2 linked regions of the Rattus norvegicus genome follow. The protein of the gene in region 1 purifies or fractionates together with the protein of each later gene. This does not show direct contact. Links are inferred from orthologs where the notes say so. Each region holds a gene or a part of one and is shown on either strand. Other genes may lie near its edges. The genes, in order: Myocd and Srf.

What was found.
Region 2: the proteins of Myocd (region 1) and Srf purify together in Homo sapiens (affinity purification with western blotting; 3 studies listed by BioGRID and IntAct, with this or other methods). This does not show direct contact. The link is inferred for Rattus norvegicus from reciprocal best matches to the Homo sapiens genes MYOCD and SRF.

Annotation. Positions count from the first base shown.
Region 1 is NC_086028.1:50,424,002-50,428,446, reverse strand, and holds the start of Myocd (myocardin), read left to right. Parts: upstream 1-1,627; 5' UTR 1,628-1,924; coding exon 1,925-1,979; intron 1,980-4,445. UniProt on the Homo sapiens protein: Smooth muscle cells (SM) and cardiac muscle cells-specific transcriptional factor which uses the canonical single or multiple CArG boxes DNA sequence. Acts as a cofactor of serum response factor (SRF) with the potential to modulate SRF-target genes.
Region 2 is NC_086027.1:21,922,616-21,927,043, forward strand, and holds the start of Srf (serum response factor), read left to right. Parts: upstream 1-1,460; 5' UTR 1,461-1,788; coding exon 1,789-2,289; intron 2,290-3,838; coding exon 3,839-4,105; intron 4,106-4,428. UniProt on the Homo sapiens protein: SRF is a transcription factor that binds to the serum response element (SRE), a short sequence of dyad symmetry located 300 bp to the 5' of the site of transcription initiation of some genes (such as FOS).

The sequences.
Region 1 (4,445 bases):
GAATTAAGACTCATAATCAGCCAGCCTGACAGTTTTTTCCTTAACGTAAGGTTAAATCGGAGAGAGATGCAGAAGGTGGGGAGGGAGTCGCTAGACTGATAAGACGTAATAAGAACTTGACCCACAATTTCTGTTTTGGAGGATGGAAGAACAGGCTGGAAGCCAAGGAACATGGGTGGCCTCTAGTAGCTGGAAAGGGAAAGGAAATGGATTCTCTTCATGAGCTTCCAGGAGGGAACACAGCTCTGCCAACACCTTGATTTTTAACCCAGTGAGACCTGTTTCTGACTCCCAGCCTTCCAACCTGCACAGTAATGAGTCCAGACTGATGTGAGCCGTTAGAGCAGTTGTGGCAAGTTCCCACAGGAACAGCCCAGTTCAACACTGCTTGTGGAATGCACAGCCACTGCCAGGCTACCACAGGAGGCAGCATGTCGCAGGCCTGTGCTGCTGCCCAACCCTATTCACAAGAGGAAGTTGTGTAGAAGGGTTCCGCCTCCTCTCTGATTCAGTGAGGAAGAACATTACCTATTCCAGAAAACTTTGATTCTGGGATTCAAGTGCATTTGGTGCAACCCAGAGGAGGAGGAAAAGGAAGGTCTGGGTCTTCAGCAACAGATGATGGAGGCAGAAGACCCCGGGATCAGGGCAGAGACTAGCCCCAAAAGATATTGTTATTTTAGGCCTCCACCTGTCCTGGGCTGATCCGTTCAAGAATTCACAGCTTTGAAGCAAAAGCAAAGAGGTAAAGAATTGTACTTGGGAGCCCACGTGCATATAAAGTTGAAAATGGTGGCAAATCGTGTGTTGTGTGTATGCAGTTCAGTTTTTTTAAATATCTAAGTCTTCGTCTTAGATGGAATATTTGTTGTACTTAATGACGCACATGGCACCCTGTCGCCCCAGGCGCCCCTGAGACATGCATCATCAGCGCCGCTTTGAGTGCCCGGTGGATTTCCCACGATTAAGCGGGATGTGAAAAATCTCTGTGCCTTTCCAATCTGGCTCGCCCAGGCCACCGAGTGCGACCCTGCTGAGCACCCAATAGTACACTCAACTTTTGCACACACTCCCCCTCCGGGCTTGGTCCCCAGCCACAAACTTTGTGTGTCCCCAAAGAGAGCATCCAACCACAGCGAAAGACTTTTTGCCACCTCCTCGGACGCTCATAGACAGCGATAGCTGCTCCAGGCATCCATCTCCTGAAGCACCACCGCTCGGATGCAGAGGGAAAGCGGGTGCTCCCGGGAATTGCAAGCCGACCCTACTTCTTGGCTCAGGCTCCAGCGCGTTCCGAGGATGTGCCTTCCCGAGCAGTCCCAGTAGGCTGGGGACACTGGGGACATTCACACCTACGGCAAGCGGATACGCTCCTACCGTCGCCGGGCGCCACCTGCAGCCTTCGAGCATCCGGTTTAGGGGTGTCAGTGCAGAGACTCCCGCCTGGGCAAGCAGTCTTGGCTTAGTATTCTGCAAAGAGTTAAGAGCCTGCTGTTGAGGCTCCTGGGGCCGCGCCTGGTCCCCAGGCCCCGCTCGCCTCTCCTGATTGGCTGGTTTCCTGTCAGTAGTAAAGAGGATCAGATAGCAAACTTGGGACCTTCATAAAGGCGTGGTGGCGATACTCCGCGACCGCTGGCAGCCTATGACATCAGTCAGGAACGCCTAGGATGCGGCTGTTCCTGGCCACCCTCAGAGGAGGAGGGTCCTGCCTGCTGGGAGTTAATTAGCCTCGCAAGCGGCGAGGGGGGAGGCGCCAGTTTTCTGGGGACACTGGCGGCCACTGTGTGTCCTCCTGCCCAAGGGAGCTCCCCAAGAGTTGGATGAATTCTGGGTCGTTAGCTGCTGTCCTCTGGGCTCCCTGGAGCCAATTTCTGGTGGAAAGCGGGGCGTCTGGCCAGCGACCAGCGGCTTGCTGAGACTCACCATGACACTCCTGGGGTCTGAACACTCTTTGCTGATTAGAAGGAAGTTCCGATCAGGTAGAGTAAGGCATTCAGCACTCCTTAAACTTTTCATCTGTACCACTCAACTGCTTTACAATGTATGCCTCGGGCCTGAGGTGGCGGCCTTCGCTCTGTTTCCCCAAAATGAACAGCTGTATTTGACTGACTGCCTTCAAATGTCTTCCCTTTGACCTGTGTTAAGTTTGAGTTTTGTTTATGAATAATCCAATGTCTTTATTCCACCATTATTTTCCTTTATGAAATTAGAAAAATTTGAAATTCTAGAAAATAGAAAATTTTGAGGGGACTCTCCAAAAGAGACTGTGTTGAAATGGGCAAATGCAGGATCTGAAGTTAGAGAGTGGGCGAGTTATCAGTTACAACTGCTGAGACGATGAGCCTAGTACTGTGTATGAAGTCCAGGGGTCACTTAACATGTAGCTAATCCAAACAAATGTATTTCCCAAAAAAGTCACTTGGAGGAAGTAAAAATAGCGAATTTGGAGCACACCAAGAATTTAAAATGACATCACCATGGGGGAAAAAAAACCCAGTGCCACAAATATTTTTTCCCAAACCATCTGATATTTATAAATGGACAATTTTCCCTAAAATTGTTGTGTTAGTGGCACACAGAGAAACTTCTGAAGGGACACTCGGGAGAGGTGAGTCTAAGGAAAGGGTGTTGGGGGGGCCTACAGAAGATGCAGGAGAATGTTCCCTTATTGGCATCCTGGCCGGGCGACCTCGATTTGCACTTTATTGCATTTATAACGGTGGTAACCAACCGTCCAATGATGACAGAGCACCCTTTAAGAAGGAACATTTTGGTGAGAGCTCTGGTGGGAGCCTTCTGTGTAACAGGTGCTGGCTGGATGCTGGTGTCTCTCGTTCTCAATCACCTTTCTTTGCCCTTCTGAAGAGGCACACAATTGTCTGTCTTTAGATGAGTGGCTCAAAAAAATGTGTGCAGTGGGTGATGGGCCATAAGGAGCCTCTATAACTGCCTTAGTTGTTCCTGATCTTTAGGTGTGTGGGGGACACTCTGGGGTTTTTCAAAGGATTGCTCAGTAAGACAAGTTGAAAACTTAAGAGCTTAAGTGACCAGGAGCCACAGTGCCTCTGGAGGTCTGGGGTGTATCTCCTAGTCACCAGCCACCAGGCTCAGTCACACATATTTGTCCTTTCCATGTTGAGGTGAGGTGGTAAGTTTGCTAATCAGAGACTTCACATGCTTGGTAATTTGCTCAAAACCACAAGGCAATACTGCCACCTTTCTGAGGGAGCAAGGATGTCATTTTTGGTTTTTGCATGAAACTGGGTTTATTTCAAATGCTCCTATGCAGTTTAATGGGGATAGAGGGAAGGACAGAGAGGGGCTGGATTGTTTCTAAAAAGATGTGGTGATGGCCTTGATTGTGGGCTGGCACAACAAACTTATCAAGGAATTCCTCAGCTGAAGTAGAGTGGGGAGGGAAGACAATGTTTGGTTTGCACCACTGTAACCCCCATCTCAGTGGATTTGTGCAGGCCTGAGGTCTCCACCTAGACCCTGCAAATCTTTATCCTAGAGCTCTGAAGAAATCCAACTGCACTTTTTTTTTCAGGCATTTGTGTCACAAGGAAGGTAGTTTGGGAAAGCATGATGCAGAGGCAGGAAACTTAATCCTCCATCTTTGATTTTAAAAAGTGTGTGTGTTGGGGGCAGGGGGTGGGGGGCTGGAATCTATGACGGACAAAGCAAGTTGGGCATCTTAGGAGCCGTGGTTGATGATCTCATTCAAGAGCAAGAAAAACATAATTGTAAATCAGTGGATGGCTACTGGTTACTCTTCCTGGACAGAGTGACCTCGGTGGACATATATGGCCCCGAGGCCTGACTGGCATTGTATGAACTACCTCTGTCTAGGGGGCTTTGCTTCACTTCGTGTCTAACAGTGAATGAAGAGGGTTTCTTGTTCACCTTGATCTCTCTCTATATATATTTCTCTCCCTCCCTCCCTCCCTCCCAGTCACCCCCTCGTCTTCCTTGAGGGATTCCACTGCCAACTCTAAAGATTCCTATATGGCTCACTTCCTATATGATGCTCACTTCAACAGTAGATCCTGGTACGATTCTAAAGTTAACGTTTCCAAACTGACTGAAAGTGAGTTATTCTACGGTTATAGCAATGGGCTTGCCGTGATGGCGCATCCACAGTCCCCAGGCAGTTCCTCACATTCTGAAACTGACGTGGACAGCAACCATGCTTTACCAATTCCCCACTAACTCTGTCCAAGTAGCCTTGTGATTAACTGACCCGCCATGGGACTTTGGGACTTTGAATGTTTACATTTGTGAACATGATTGGCAATGTGAATTAACCTTACCTGACAGAGTAGGGTGTCCTGGCTGAGTGTGAGGGTCTCGCTCGGTCAGACTAGCTGGGTTCTCAGACATCGCCTCTTCGGTTTGGGCTACATGACCTTTATAATTCTCAGCATCATAATTCTCTGCATCTT
Region 2 (4,428 bases), on another chromosome or scaffold:
ATTTCCTCAACAGAGGCTCCTTCCTCTCTGATGACTCTAGCTTGTGTCTAGCTGACAGCAAACCAGCCAGCACAAGTACCGACACCAGAGAAGGGACCCAGGTCACTTGTTTGCATGCACAGGCCTGCAAAGGTAGACAGACTTTTTATTCGAATAATTTTTTAGATGTATTTAATGCGCACTGGTGTTTTACTTACATGTATGTCTTTGAAGATGTCAGATCACCTGGAACTGGAGTTAAAGACCACTGTGAGCTGCCATGTGGGTGCTGGAAATTGAACCCAGGTCCTCTGGAAGAGCAGCCAGAACTCTTAACCACGTTTGAATAATTTTCTTTTTGACTGGGTTTTGCTATGTAGTCCTGGGCTGGCTTGGTGCTCACTATGTGGGTCAGGTTGGACTTGAACTCGGGGTAATCCTCCTGCCTCAGCCTCCGGAATAGCTAGAATTAAATGTGTGCACCACACAGTCCGGTCAGATTTAAATAGTTTCAGTAACATAGAAGTCCACGATATTTTCTCTATCTTGGAAGAAAGACTCAGACTCTCAGACCCTTAACCTGGGCTTTGTAACACCCACGTTTTAATCTTTATATCTTTTTTTAAAAAAATCCTCCTATGGACCTGGAATGTCGATTACATTCCCTTGCTTAAACTTTCTATCCCGCTGTACTTTCAGGCCTTTGCTTTATCCTCGAGACCACCCCCTCTCTTTCAGCACAGGCGCAGCTGGAAGTCTTCACTGACCTCTCACTCTCCGCCCTGCCCCCATCGTGGATGGGAGGTCGCCCCGTACCTCCTCCTCCTCCAGATGTGTGTCTGCCAAAGACACCCCTCCACCTCCAGTGTAGAGGATGATGAACGATGTGACCTCGCAGCCAGACTTGTGGGAAAGTGTTGATCCTTTGAAAAGAGAGGGAAAGGCAAGTGTGTGTAGTAGGGGAACGAGTGGAACCGCTGGGGTAGCGGAGACGAAACACAAGTTCCCTCGGCTCCAACCACTTTACCTTCCCTCAGGAAGTGGTGGGAGAAACGCTCCAATCTATCCCTGAACCCCTTCGCTGGAATTAGGAAGTATTTTTTCTCATTTATTTTAAACCCCAATCCATTCAGGGGTTCCCTCTTCTGCCCTCCAGTCCTCTTCCAGGTTTCCTCTATGAGAGTTTCAACAATCCACTACTCTCCAACACAGGGGGGCGGAACTGGCTCCGCTCCACTGTTCCTTTAAGGAGTTGGCTCCTCCCCCCCAAGGAATCGCGGTCTGACGCGGGATGACAGCAGCGAGTTCGGTATGTCTATGCAAATAAGTCTCCCCTTCGGGCCAATGGGGAGCGGAGGTGCCGGAAGCGCGGACCAATGGGGCGGGGGCGCTGGGGCTCGCCATATAAGGAGCGGCCTCGCCATAAAAGGAAACATTGTATCTCTTTATATGGGGGGGGAAGGGTTGGGGGATACCTCCGCCGCCAGCGCGTGGTCCCGGCCCCCTCCACCCGCGGTCTCGGCCGCGGCCAGCAGCCCCTGCCCCGCGGGGGACGCTGACGGCCGCAGGGCGCGCCTCCCCGGCACACGGACAGGGGGCGCTGCGCGCGGCCTGGGGCAACCCCGGCCATAGGGGCAGGAAAGTGAGGGCCCAGGTCGGCCCGGGCGTGCAGGGGCCCCGGGTTCGCAGCTGCGGCAGCGACAGCGGCTTTAGCAGCAGCGGGAGTGCCGGGTGGAACCGGGAAGCCGATGGCGGCGGCGGCCCCGATTCCTCGCTGACTTGCCTGTCCGCCCTCCTGCACTCAGCGCCATGTTACCGAGCCAAGCTGGGGCCGCGGCGGCTCTGGGCCGGGGCTCGGCCCTGGGGGGCAGCCTGAACAGGACCCCGACGGGGCGGCCGGGCGGCAGCGGTGGGACTCGCGGGGCGAACGGGGGCCGGGTCCCCGGGAACGGCGCGGGGCTCGGCCCGGGTCGTCTGGAGCGGGAGGCTGCAGCAGCAGCAGCGCCCACCGCCGGGGCCCTCTACAGCGGCAGCGAGGGCGACTCTGAGTCCGGCGAGGAGGAGGAGCTGGGCGCCGAGCGGCGCGGCCTCAAGCGGAGTCTGAGCGAGATGGAGCTCGGTGTGGTGGTCGGTGGGCCTGAGGCGGCGGCGGCGGCCGCCGGAGGCTACGGACCGGTGAGCGGCGCGGTGAGCGGGGCCAAGCCGGGGAAGAAGACCCGGGGCCGCGTGAAGATCAAGATGGAGTTCATCGACAACAAGCTGCGGCGTTACACGACCTTCAGCAAGAGGAAGACGGGCATCATGAAGAAGGTACAGGAGCCGGAGATTGGCGCGCCCCGGGGGGACCTGAAGGGTGGGTGAGCTCTAAGGTAGCCCGGGTGCGAGACAGAGCTGAGGCGGAGGTGAGAGGCGGGCTAGTCCGCAGGAGGTGTGTGGGAGGGGATGGTTGTACCCAGGCCGGGCGAAAGGGGAGGGGCCGCCCGGGAAATATGGGGAGAGGGGAGATGCTGCGAACGTCCGGAATCCTGGGCAAAGGCGCCGGGGTGGGAGTGACCAGCGCGCGGGGGACAGAGGGTCCTGGAAGAGTACAGGAGTGAACAGGGGCCGGCAGGAAGCTGGATAACCAGACGCGGGGATCAACAGATCCACTGTGTCCCGGTGTGCGGGAAGGGCGGTGGAAAAGGGAGCAGAAGGTTTGGAGATGAGGAGGCAGGAGTTGGATGACAGCAGTGAGAGAGCTTGAGTGGGACGAAATGTGGGCATCGCTAGAGTTGTGCGGGCATGAAGGACAGGCAGGGTTAGGAACCAGGTGAGGAAGCTAGGCGGGAGAACTGCTACTGCCTTGAGGAACAGCAAGCTGGGACCAAGTCCCGCCCTGGCCATGTGTCTTCCGTTGCGTTCTGTGGAAATCTCATGCTGCCCCAGGGCCCGCTGCAGAATCGCTGGCCTTTGGGACAGGTAGGGCTTCCAGCTCTAGAGCAAATCAGTGCATGGAATGTTGGGGAAAGTCAGGGAGATTTGTAGAGGTACCACTTGCCAGCTGATAGCTTATCAAAAGTGACAGGATAGTGATAGGAGACGTCTTGGAGTCTAGGAGATGGGAAGGGGTGGAAGCAGAGGGACTGGGAAACCGCCTACAACCTGGGTGGGAACCAGTGTTGTCATCTGTTCCTTGCCGAAGCTGCAAGTGCTTCCAAGGTGGGTTGTGCATTTTCGCTGGGGCTCTCATAGCAGAGTATCTATTGCAAATATAGCTCTCACCATTTTGGGTGCTCTCTCTTATCAGTAACCCTTGATCACCATGGAGAAGGTTTTGGGAAAAGGTAGACAGTACCTTTCCTCCTTTCTTATCCTTCCATCCCAAGGGGAAAGAAAAGGGCAGTGTTGTGTTACAGGGTAAAAGAAGTTAGGCTGTGGCAACAGGTTAGAGCCTGTGCAGTTTTCTGGCAGGGAACATGGGCAGTTTGGCAGTTAGGTGGCTGTTACCACAAATGTGATGTGTGAGTTCTAGTGTGGTAGGGACCTCACTGCCCCTGTGACAGTGAGGAGGAAGCATACACCAGCAGTGTTAGGGGATAGCCCGCTGTGGCTGTGTGTCCACCTTGAGGTTATATGCTCAATCCCTGCTGGAAGCTATTCCTGTTTGCTTGGGATATCTGCAGGCAATGGGCCTGCTTCTTACAGGACATGCGTGGTTTCTCTGCTCCCAGCTCACCTTGAGCTATCTAGATAGGACCCTGTTACAGTCTCTGGATGAAGGTCATCCTAGGAGTCAGCACTAGAGATCACCGTACAGTTTTCCCCAGGGAAGTAGAGAGGAAAAGCGTCGCTGACTTGCCCATCTCCTCCAACTCCCCAGGCTTATGAGCTGTCCACGCTGACAGGGACACAGGTGCTGTTGCTGGTGGCCAGTGAGACAGGCCATGTGTATACCTTTGCCACCCGCAAACTGCAGCCCATGATCACCAGTGAGACCGGCAAGGCGCTGATTCAGACCTGCCTCAACTCGCCAGACTCTCCACCCCGCTCAGACCCCAGCACAGACCAGAGAATGAGTGCCACTGGCTTTGAAGAGCCAGATCTCACCTACCAGGTGTCGGAATCTGACAGCAGTGGGGAAACCAAGGTGTGGTTTTTGGTCACCTATGTGGGGGGCGGGGGGATCCCTTTCCTTTCTTGGACTAACACAGGTACATAGACACTCTTAGTGATGAGGAGTGGGGCCAGGTTAGTGTTCCTTATCCTAGGAGACAGGTGTCCATCCTCCATTCCTGACAGGAGGCTGTCCCACTAGATAAGCGGGCGGCCTCCGTGCCCATATAAGGCCGGTTCGGGCTCCACGCCGGCCTCCCGCCCGCAGCCCGCCTGCCTGGCAAGGCTTTTGCATTCCTCCCGCCAGCTGTCTCCCCGCTGGGGGCGGGGGTGTAGTTTGGCCCTGCCCTCCTGGCA